Linked DNA regions of Arabidopsis thaliana. The protein of the gene in region 2 purifies or fractionates together with the protein of the main gene of each other region. This does not show direct contact. Each region holds a gene or a part of one and is shown on either strand. Other genes may lie near its edges.

Region 1 (3,753 bases), on a different chromosome or scaffold from region 2:
CTTGTTTCTACAAGATCAGTTCAAATAACAAAGAGTGAGGAAAAATAAAATAAATAGGATTGACTATGTTTAAAGTACCTAGCTGCACTTGTGAGATAGTTGCATGTCCTCTTGAAATTTGTTTTGTCTACATGCTCAAGTAAGAGATCAAGATCCTCAACATCCATTAAAAGATCAACAGCTTCGGTTTCTGCATTATGCTGCAAGGAGTAAATGAAATCGTTTAGAAATAAATAAATCGCAGAGGTGCTAATCTCAAGCCCTATTAGTTTAGGAATTCACCTTCATGTGAAAAGCAACAATTTGTTGCACAAGCTCCATTAAATCGTCAATAGAGGCCTCCTCACTCTGAGATAATGAACAGGTAGATAAATATGACTCAGTGACCTTTCTCATTGAATAAGACACATTTAGTCATTCCTCAAAACTCCAACCATCAGAATTCAGAAGGATAAACCCAAACACAACTTCCAACAATCTTAGAATATCTGCACAAGTCCTAGGACGAGAAACTGAATTTCCAAAGACAAAATCGAAAATTGATTTCTAACCTGACGCTTTGTATACTCTTGTGCAATCTCTCCAGCTAAATTCCTGACATATTCATGACCCCACGATCCAATGTCACCCTCTGTTCCAATCAATCTAAACCTTAAGCTTTCCTGGAATTATATTGTAAAAGAAAGTGATTAGCAGTTCAAAGTATGCCTTAAAAAATACAAATCAGAATACAAAGTATGCCCAAGTCAGTAGAAGCATACCCTTTCACCATCTGCAGACATGGTAAGGGCCAGGACAGACAGGATATCGGACAGGTACTTCTGCAAACATAGCAAATGTAATTTTTAAGCCATACCAATATAAGAATTGTTAATGACTTGAAATCAATGATGACATACTTTGAGATCAGAATCAGCCATTGTTTCATGAAACGCTTTAAGAGTTCCATAATGGGGACGCAGAAACTTTAGTGGTTTGGGAACTGAAGTCATGGAACTTGTTGAAGCTCGGATTTCCTGCCTACAAAGCCAAATAAAACTCTAATTAAAAACATAAACATGTACACCAAGAGCAGAGAGAAAGAAAAAAAGCTTTATAAGTTGTACAAGCTTCAGTGGCAATAATCTGAAAACCCGAAGCTGATCAAGTCAAGAATTACCTCATGCTCTCAAGGGCAGCCTTCTGCAATTCCGGATTAGGATCCTGAACCCTCTCAACATAGAGCTCAAGGTTCTGCTTTAGTTCCAAGTCCTCTTCAGACTACAATCACAACCCAATGTAAGTCGAGTCATTAAGAAAGTGACCATATACAAACAAAAAAAACTTTCCTCACATCACAAGTTAACAACTTTCTAATCCGGCTAGTCTAATGACGAACAAAACACTCACTTTGCCAGATTAAAAACCCTAATTCTATAACACCCCTACTTCAACTCGATCGAGACTCCAATTAAAAACCTAACTGCAGATCTTACAGATTTGAAATTAATTCGTTTCTGATGAACCCAGATACTAAACACGACACACAATGTCGAAAAAGGATTCGATAAATCAAAAAACCGAGAAAGAAGAAACTTTACCAAATCCTCATCCTTTTTCTCGTCCTTCTTCTTGGGATCCTTAGACGGAACCTTCAAGGTAGCTTCATCTTTCTTCGCACCGCCTCCGACACTGTTGGGATCCTGAGTTGGAGCCATCTCTACAGTAACAGATCAATCTAAGGAACCCCTTGTAAAAAGCTTGAAATTTGAACACTCAAACGAATCGAGAAGCTTGTGCTTGTGCTATCGAAAACTCTCTGATTGCAGGAATTAAAACAAAAAAAACTCTTCTGCAACTCTCTAATCAAAGCACAATAATATATGAAGAAGAATCTAAATATTGGAATCGGAGAAGATAACCCCTCGATCAAGATTTCTACACTATAGAATCAATCAGCCCATTACAACCTCTTTTTCAATGTCACAGCCCATTAACCGTATTGGGCTCATTTAGTGAGTTCTTCTTACATGGGCCCACATGTCTAAAATTATTTATTCATCATATTTCTGTATGGTTGAACAAACATAATTTATCCTTATGACAGTTAATTTATTTCACGTTTGAAGAGGATTTCGACATATTTTCATTCTCTTTTCGACCGGTCGCAGACAAAACTGCAAGACAAGCTTTTCTTTCACAACCTAGTGAAGTCATAGTTTCGTCTAATTCACTGCATTGGATCTGGTCATTAGTAAAATTGTTGAAATATCTCATGATCCTTGTAAATTCAATATTGACAATTTTTGACCATCTATCTCATGGTAATTTAGTAGTTGAAATCTTCACCAAAGAGTTTATAGAGACCATGGTTTTTTGTTATTTTCACTATGATTTTAGTAAAAGTTAGCCAATGTAGATGTAGGCACCAAAAACTAGTGTGCATTTCGATTTGGAATGTCCGGTTAGAACAAAAAAAAATGATTTGTCTTCATTATCTTCGACCAAAGTCCTTTAAATTTTTGAATTTGAACCGAGTATTCATTTTGGTTATATTGGATTTTAATACCATGCATGTAGGGTTTGAATATATTTACTTTTGCCTATAAATACGTACTTATAAAAAGCATATGTGTACAAGTGTGAGTGGAAAATGAGATGCTAGTAATAGTATCCGCATGTATATGAATTATCAATTATGAAGAGAGAGGGACCATTCAAATTTGAAGGAGACGAGAGAGAGAGAGAGAGAGTGGTCACAATTGGAGAAAGAAGAGGTCGTTACGTTGGATTTTACGTTGCCTCCATGCACTTCCTTCTCCTCTTATCTCGTGGTCCTCTCCCTCTCTCCTCATTATTATTTTATGCCATTGTTCTCTCAATCCCAACAATACGTTTTTATACGGTAATATATGCATGGTAAACACACAATTTCATTACTCATTTTTCACCATATATAACCGGCTGGTATTTTTAAGTATAAGTTATGTTTATAAATTATAAGTGTATATATACTCGTGAGGTTGTCCTCTTTATAATCAATTGGTCGTCGTTTGCGACTTTGCTTTGAACGCTTCCAATTTCCATATGATCATTTGATATGGAAATTTGTTGTGTTATGTTTTATAAAAAAACTTTATATAAGCAATCAAGTTCTAAATCACCAATGGTTAGAGAAAATATAGGTAATTTATTTGCGTTAATAGAGCTAGAGTGTACTTAGCACCCTAGATACATATGAAAAGGGTCTCCTTATTAGTCACATGGGACGATTAAGTAAAGAGTAACTCTTAACACAACAAGGGTCAAAACAAAAACAACCCTTGGAAAAATAAAAGTACAATAATTGAAAGACATGTCGTCGAATTTTTGTTTGGTTCTCGCTTGCCTACGGATCTTGTGCGTTTCAGGCACAAGACGCGGTCGGAGGAACCTCAGAGACACCGTGACGGTGAAGCTCTGTCATAACACCGTCAACAGCCGGCGGATTTAATCCCAACGGAAGTGGCAGCCATGGCCTCGTCAATACATCTCCTATGGCTGCATCCACGCTCTCTTTTGACTGTTCCATTTATAATATATATACACAAAAAGTCAAAAATACATAATTACATAATCAAATGCGAAAAGTCAAAACTCGACAACAATCAATTCATTATATTAGATTCTTACCGGATGTAAGTCTACCGGAGGACGAGCACCACCAAATCCAAGATTTGGTTTGTACATCGTGTGATGCGGCGGCAGAGCATGCGGGATTCCGGCAACTGGCGG
Region 2 (3,753 bases):
GTTACCCTTCATCGTTACCGCGTTTCTTCTTCTCCTCCTTCTCTGATTCGTTTATCAATTTTGATTATTGAATCTCAGGATTTAGGAATTTCCCAGATTTCTAAGACTCTGACTCAGATTACAAAGAAAACGCCTCAGGTTTCGTGTTTTTTCCTTCCATTTCTGCTTCATTCCTAGTCCAATTTTGTAGCTTTACCACAATTTCAGCTTCTTCAGCAGCGTAATCACAAACCCATCGATAAAGCCCTCTTAGCTACTGCTGAACCAAGACGCTCTTCCCGTGTTCGTACCGTAATTTCTTCCTATCGCGATGATGTAATTTTCCCAGCTTTCTCTTACTTCTGTAATAGATTTTTCACAGCAATCAATCAACCCAATCCCTTGTCTCTTTTCAGGTCGTCGTAGACACTGGTCGTACTTCGAATCTGAGGAGATCGCGACATAGCTCTACATGGGCGACGTAAGTGCCCTGCTCCACAATTTTGCCCTAAAAAACTATCCTTTCATCTGATCAATTAGTTAAAATTCATCAGCTACATTTCTCGACCTCTCCATGAGTGCAAGTTTGCATCTTATGAAGAAAAGGTTGGAGCATTCAAGGCTGCAGAGAAGTTCCAGAGGAGCCTTAAATCTCCACATCCTTACTTTGTGAAATCTATGGTTCGCTCCCATGTTTACAGTTGCTTTTGGCTGGTACGTTCGTTCACAACACTTGTGTGTGTTTCTTCTTCAAGGATTTCGTGTTAGTACCTTACTTGACCTACATGGGTTTGCTTGCAAATTTCAAGGGGCTTCCTTCAAGATTCTGTGCAGACAATTTTCCTGAGGAAACTATGGAAATAGAACTAGAGGATGAAGAAGGCGAAGTGTATGAAGCAGTGTACATTGGTAGAAGAGCTGGACTCAGTGGTGGTTGGAAAAGGTTTGCTCTTGATCATAAATTGGATGATGGTGATGCTCTACTCTTTGAATTGGTTGAACCAAAGAAGTTCAAGGTATGTATGTGTCTTGAACAAGAGTCATGTGGTTGGAGTTAGTTGACATTCTCACATGTTGATTATAAAATGTTTGCTTGGTGCAGATCTATGTGTTTAAAGGAAATGAGAACGCTAATCTTACAAGCGCCAGAAAGAGAGGCAGAGCAACGACGCCAAGTGAAGAAGAAGAAGAAGAAGAAGATAAGGATGTTGAAGAATCAGGTGATGAGGAACACAGCTCAAGAGCCACTAAGAGATCATCCGTAAGGTTACTAAGGAAGAGGAAAGCATAAGAGAGCTTTCTTTTGTCTACATGCCCCATATATTTTTTTGGTTTTTGAGTGGGCTGCTAATACTACTAATACTAATGGCATATTTGTAAGTTTATCAACCCAAGGTAAACTTTGTTTTTTTCAATTTGAAAGTAGAACTGAAACTCTGATGAGCGGCTTTGGTTCGGAAATTTAAATTGTTTCCTCTCAGTTTTGGTTACTAGGCGATGATGAGCTATATACTTCTGATGATACCATTTAGACCAACTCCGTCACAAAATAAACAAATTAAAATGGAGAGAGTAAACGGGCTATTAAATATCAAAACTGGGCCTTACTATGACAAAAGGCCCATTTAATCTATTTTCCTTTTATTTAGATGAGTCGGCTCACAAATTAACATTTCTTTTCCTCTACTCCAAAGATATCTCGGTTCGCAAAAGTCTATTTAATTTCATAGCAATCTCACTTTTCTCTTCCCCCACCCTCAAAGATCTCTCAAAGAATGGCTTCCGCGGCTGTTGCATCGATGGTTCTTGACCCTAAAGCATCACCGGCCTTGATGGATCTATCCACCGCAGACGAAGAAGATCTCTATGGCCGCCTCAAATCGCTTGAACGACAACTAGAGTTCACCGATATCCAAGAAGAATATGTGAAAGACGAGCAAAAGAATCTCAAACGAGAGCTGTTACGAGCACAAGAAGAGGTCAAACGAATTCAATCCGTGCCTTTGGTGATAGGTCAGTTCATGGAGATGGTAGATCAGAACAACGGCATCGTCGGATCTACTACTGGCTCCAATTACTATGTCAGAATTCTCAGCACAATCAATAGAGAACTCTTAAAGCCTTCTGCTTCCGTCGCTCTTCACCGTCACTCCAACGCCCTTGTTGATGTTTTGCCTCCGGAGGCTGATTCTAGCATCTCCCTTCTCAGCCAATCTGAGAAGCCTGACGTCTCCTACAATGTAATGTTTCCTTTTTTCCAAATCTCGACTCTGTTTTCTGAATTAAAGTTAGGGTTTTTGAAACGATCTTTGGTTTCTTATGTGGTGCTTTATCTTTTTGTGTAGGATATTGGAGGATGCGATATTCAGAAACAGGAAATTCGTGAGGCTGTTGAATTGCCTCTTACCCACCACGAGCTTTACAAACAGATTGGTATTGACCCACCTCGTGGAGTCTTGCTCTATGGACCTCCTGGTACTGGAAAGACTATGTTGGCTAAGGCTGTTGCCAATCACACAACTGCTGCCTTCATTAGGGTTGTTGGATCCGAGTTTGTGCAAAAGTATCTCGGCGAGGTATTAAAAATCATAGCTTTATTGAAGGTTTAGGTCCTATTGAGCGATTCTATTTGGTGACTAACTGGTTTTTTAATTGCAGGGACCTCGTATGGTTCGTGATGTCTTCCGTCTTGCCAAGGAAAATGCTCCAGCTATCATCTTCATTGATGAGGTAGATGCCATCGCTACTGCTAGGTTTGATGCTCAAACAGGAGCCGATAGGGAAGTTCAGCGTATTCTCATGGAGCTTCTTAATCAGGTGAGAACAAATAATGAATTTTAGTTGTAATTCAGATCTTATGTTGTAGAATAATGGATTTTAGTTGTGTCCTTAACTTATTGTGTTGAATTCGATGTAGATGGATGGATTTGACCAGACCGTGAATGTCAAGGTCATAATGGCAACAAACAGGGCAGACACTCTAGATCCTGCTCTCTTACGTCCTGGAAGACTTGATCGTAAGATTGAGTTCCCCCTTCCTGATAGACGTCAAAAGAGGCTTGTTTTCCAGGTAAGTTAATTACTACAAGCACTTAAATAACTAGTTAAAGAGATATGAAACCAAATGTTTTCTCAAAAGAAAGTTTTGACTGATATCTTAGTTTCTGTCTTATTGATTGGTTTTTCCTTGTGTAGGTATGCACCTCCAAAATGAACCTTAGCGATGAGGTTGACTTGGAAGACTATGTTTCACGGCCTGATAAAATTAGCGCTGCTGAGGTTAGTTTATTTTGCTTACCATTCTATTCTTCCCGCTATAGTTTACTTTTACCATGATATATCCTCCAGTGTTTCTGGGTCACCACCTAATGATGTTCTTCAAAATATGCACTTGAGCATAATCATACTGTTTCAAGCATTATGTATGAATGTTAGCTGAGTCGTTTGTTAATCATTGTCCTGAACTGAATTGTTGAGAAATCAATTGTTGGCAGTAATATGGTTTGATTTTATCATGTACATGGGAATTGTTCCTAAAAAGATTGCATGTAATGATGATAGTTATTAATGACACTATTTTGATTTTATGTTGAACAATGCAGATAGCAGCAATTTGCCAGGAAGCTGGTATGCATGCGGTGCGAAAGAACAGATATGTGATACTACCTAAGGATTTCGAGAAGGGCTACCGCGCAAATGTTAAGAAGCCAGACACGGACTTTGAGTTTTACAAGTGAAGAGAAAGCAGAAGTGGAACCAGATTATGGCTGTTGT

Evidence for each region. Proteins that work in one complex are often made in the same cells at the same time.
Region 1: the proteins of RPT3 (region 2) and RPN1A purify together in Arabidopsis thaliana (affinity purification with mass spectrometry; 2 studies listed by BioGRID, with this or other methods). This does not show direct contact.

What each region holds. Positions count from the first base shown.
Region 1 is NC_003071.7:8,857,155-8,860,907, reverse strand, and holds the start of RPN1A (26S proteasome regulatory subunit S2 1A), read right to left. Parts: upstream 1,947-3,753; 5' UTR 1,698-1,946; coding exon 1,581-1,697; intron 1,261-1,580; coding exon 1,160-1,260; intron 1,021-1,159; coding exon 900-1,020; intron 822-899; coding exon 762-821; intron 663-761; coding exon 552-662; intron 349-551; coding exon 283-348; intron 201-282; coding exon 79-200; intron 1-78. Other genes in the region: GPRI1 (GBF's pro-rich region-interacting factor 1), read right to left, coding at 3,386-3,541, 3,652-3,753. UniProt on the Arabidopsis thaliana protein: Acts as a regulatory subunit of the 26 proteasome which is involved in the ATP-dependent degradation of ubiquitinated proteins. Required during embryogenesis. Required for optimal plant growth and stress responses. Required for innate immunity.
Region 2 is NC_003076.8:23,567,401-23,571,153, forward strand, and holds the start of RPT3 (regulatory particle triple-A ATPase 3), read left to right. Parts: upstream 1-1,651; 5' UTR 1,652-1,754; coding exon 1,755-2,219; intron 2,220-2,324; coding exon 2,325-2,555; intron 2,556-2,637; coding exon 2,638-2,796; intron 2,797-2,896; coding exon 2,897-3,049; intron 3,050-3,174; coding exon 3,175-3,258; intron 3,259-3,581; coding exon 3,582-3,716; 3' UTR 3,717-3,753. Other genes in the region: AT5G58280 (AP2/B3-like transcriptional factor family protein), read left to right, coding at 1-138, 217-315, 396-460, 534-693, 789-995, 1,082-1,270. UniProt on the Arabidopsis thaliana protein: The 26S proteasome is involved in the ATP-dependent degradation of ubiquitinated proteins. The regulatory (or ATPase) complex confers ATP dependency and substrate specificity to the 26S complex.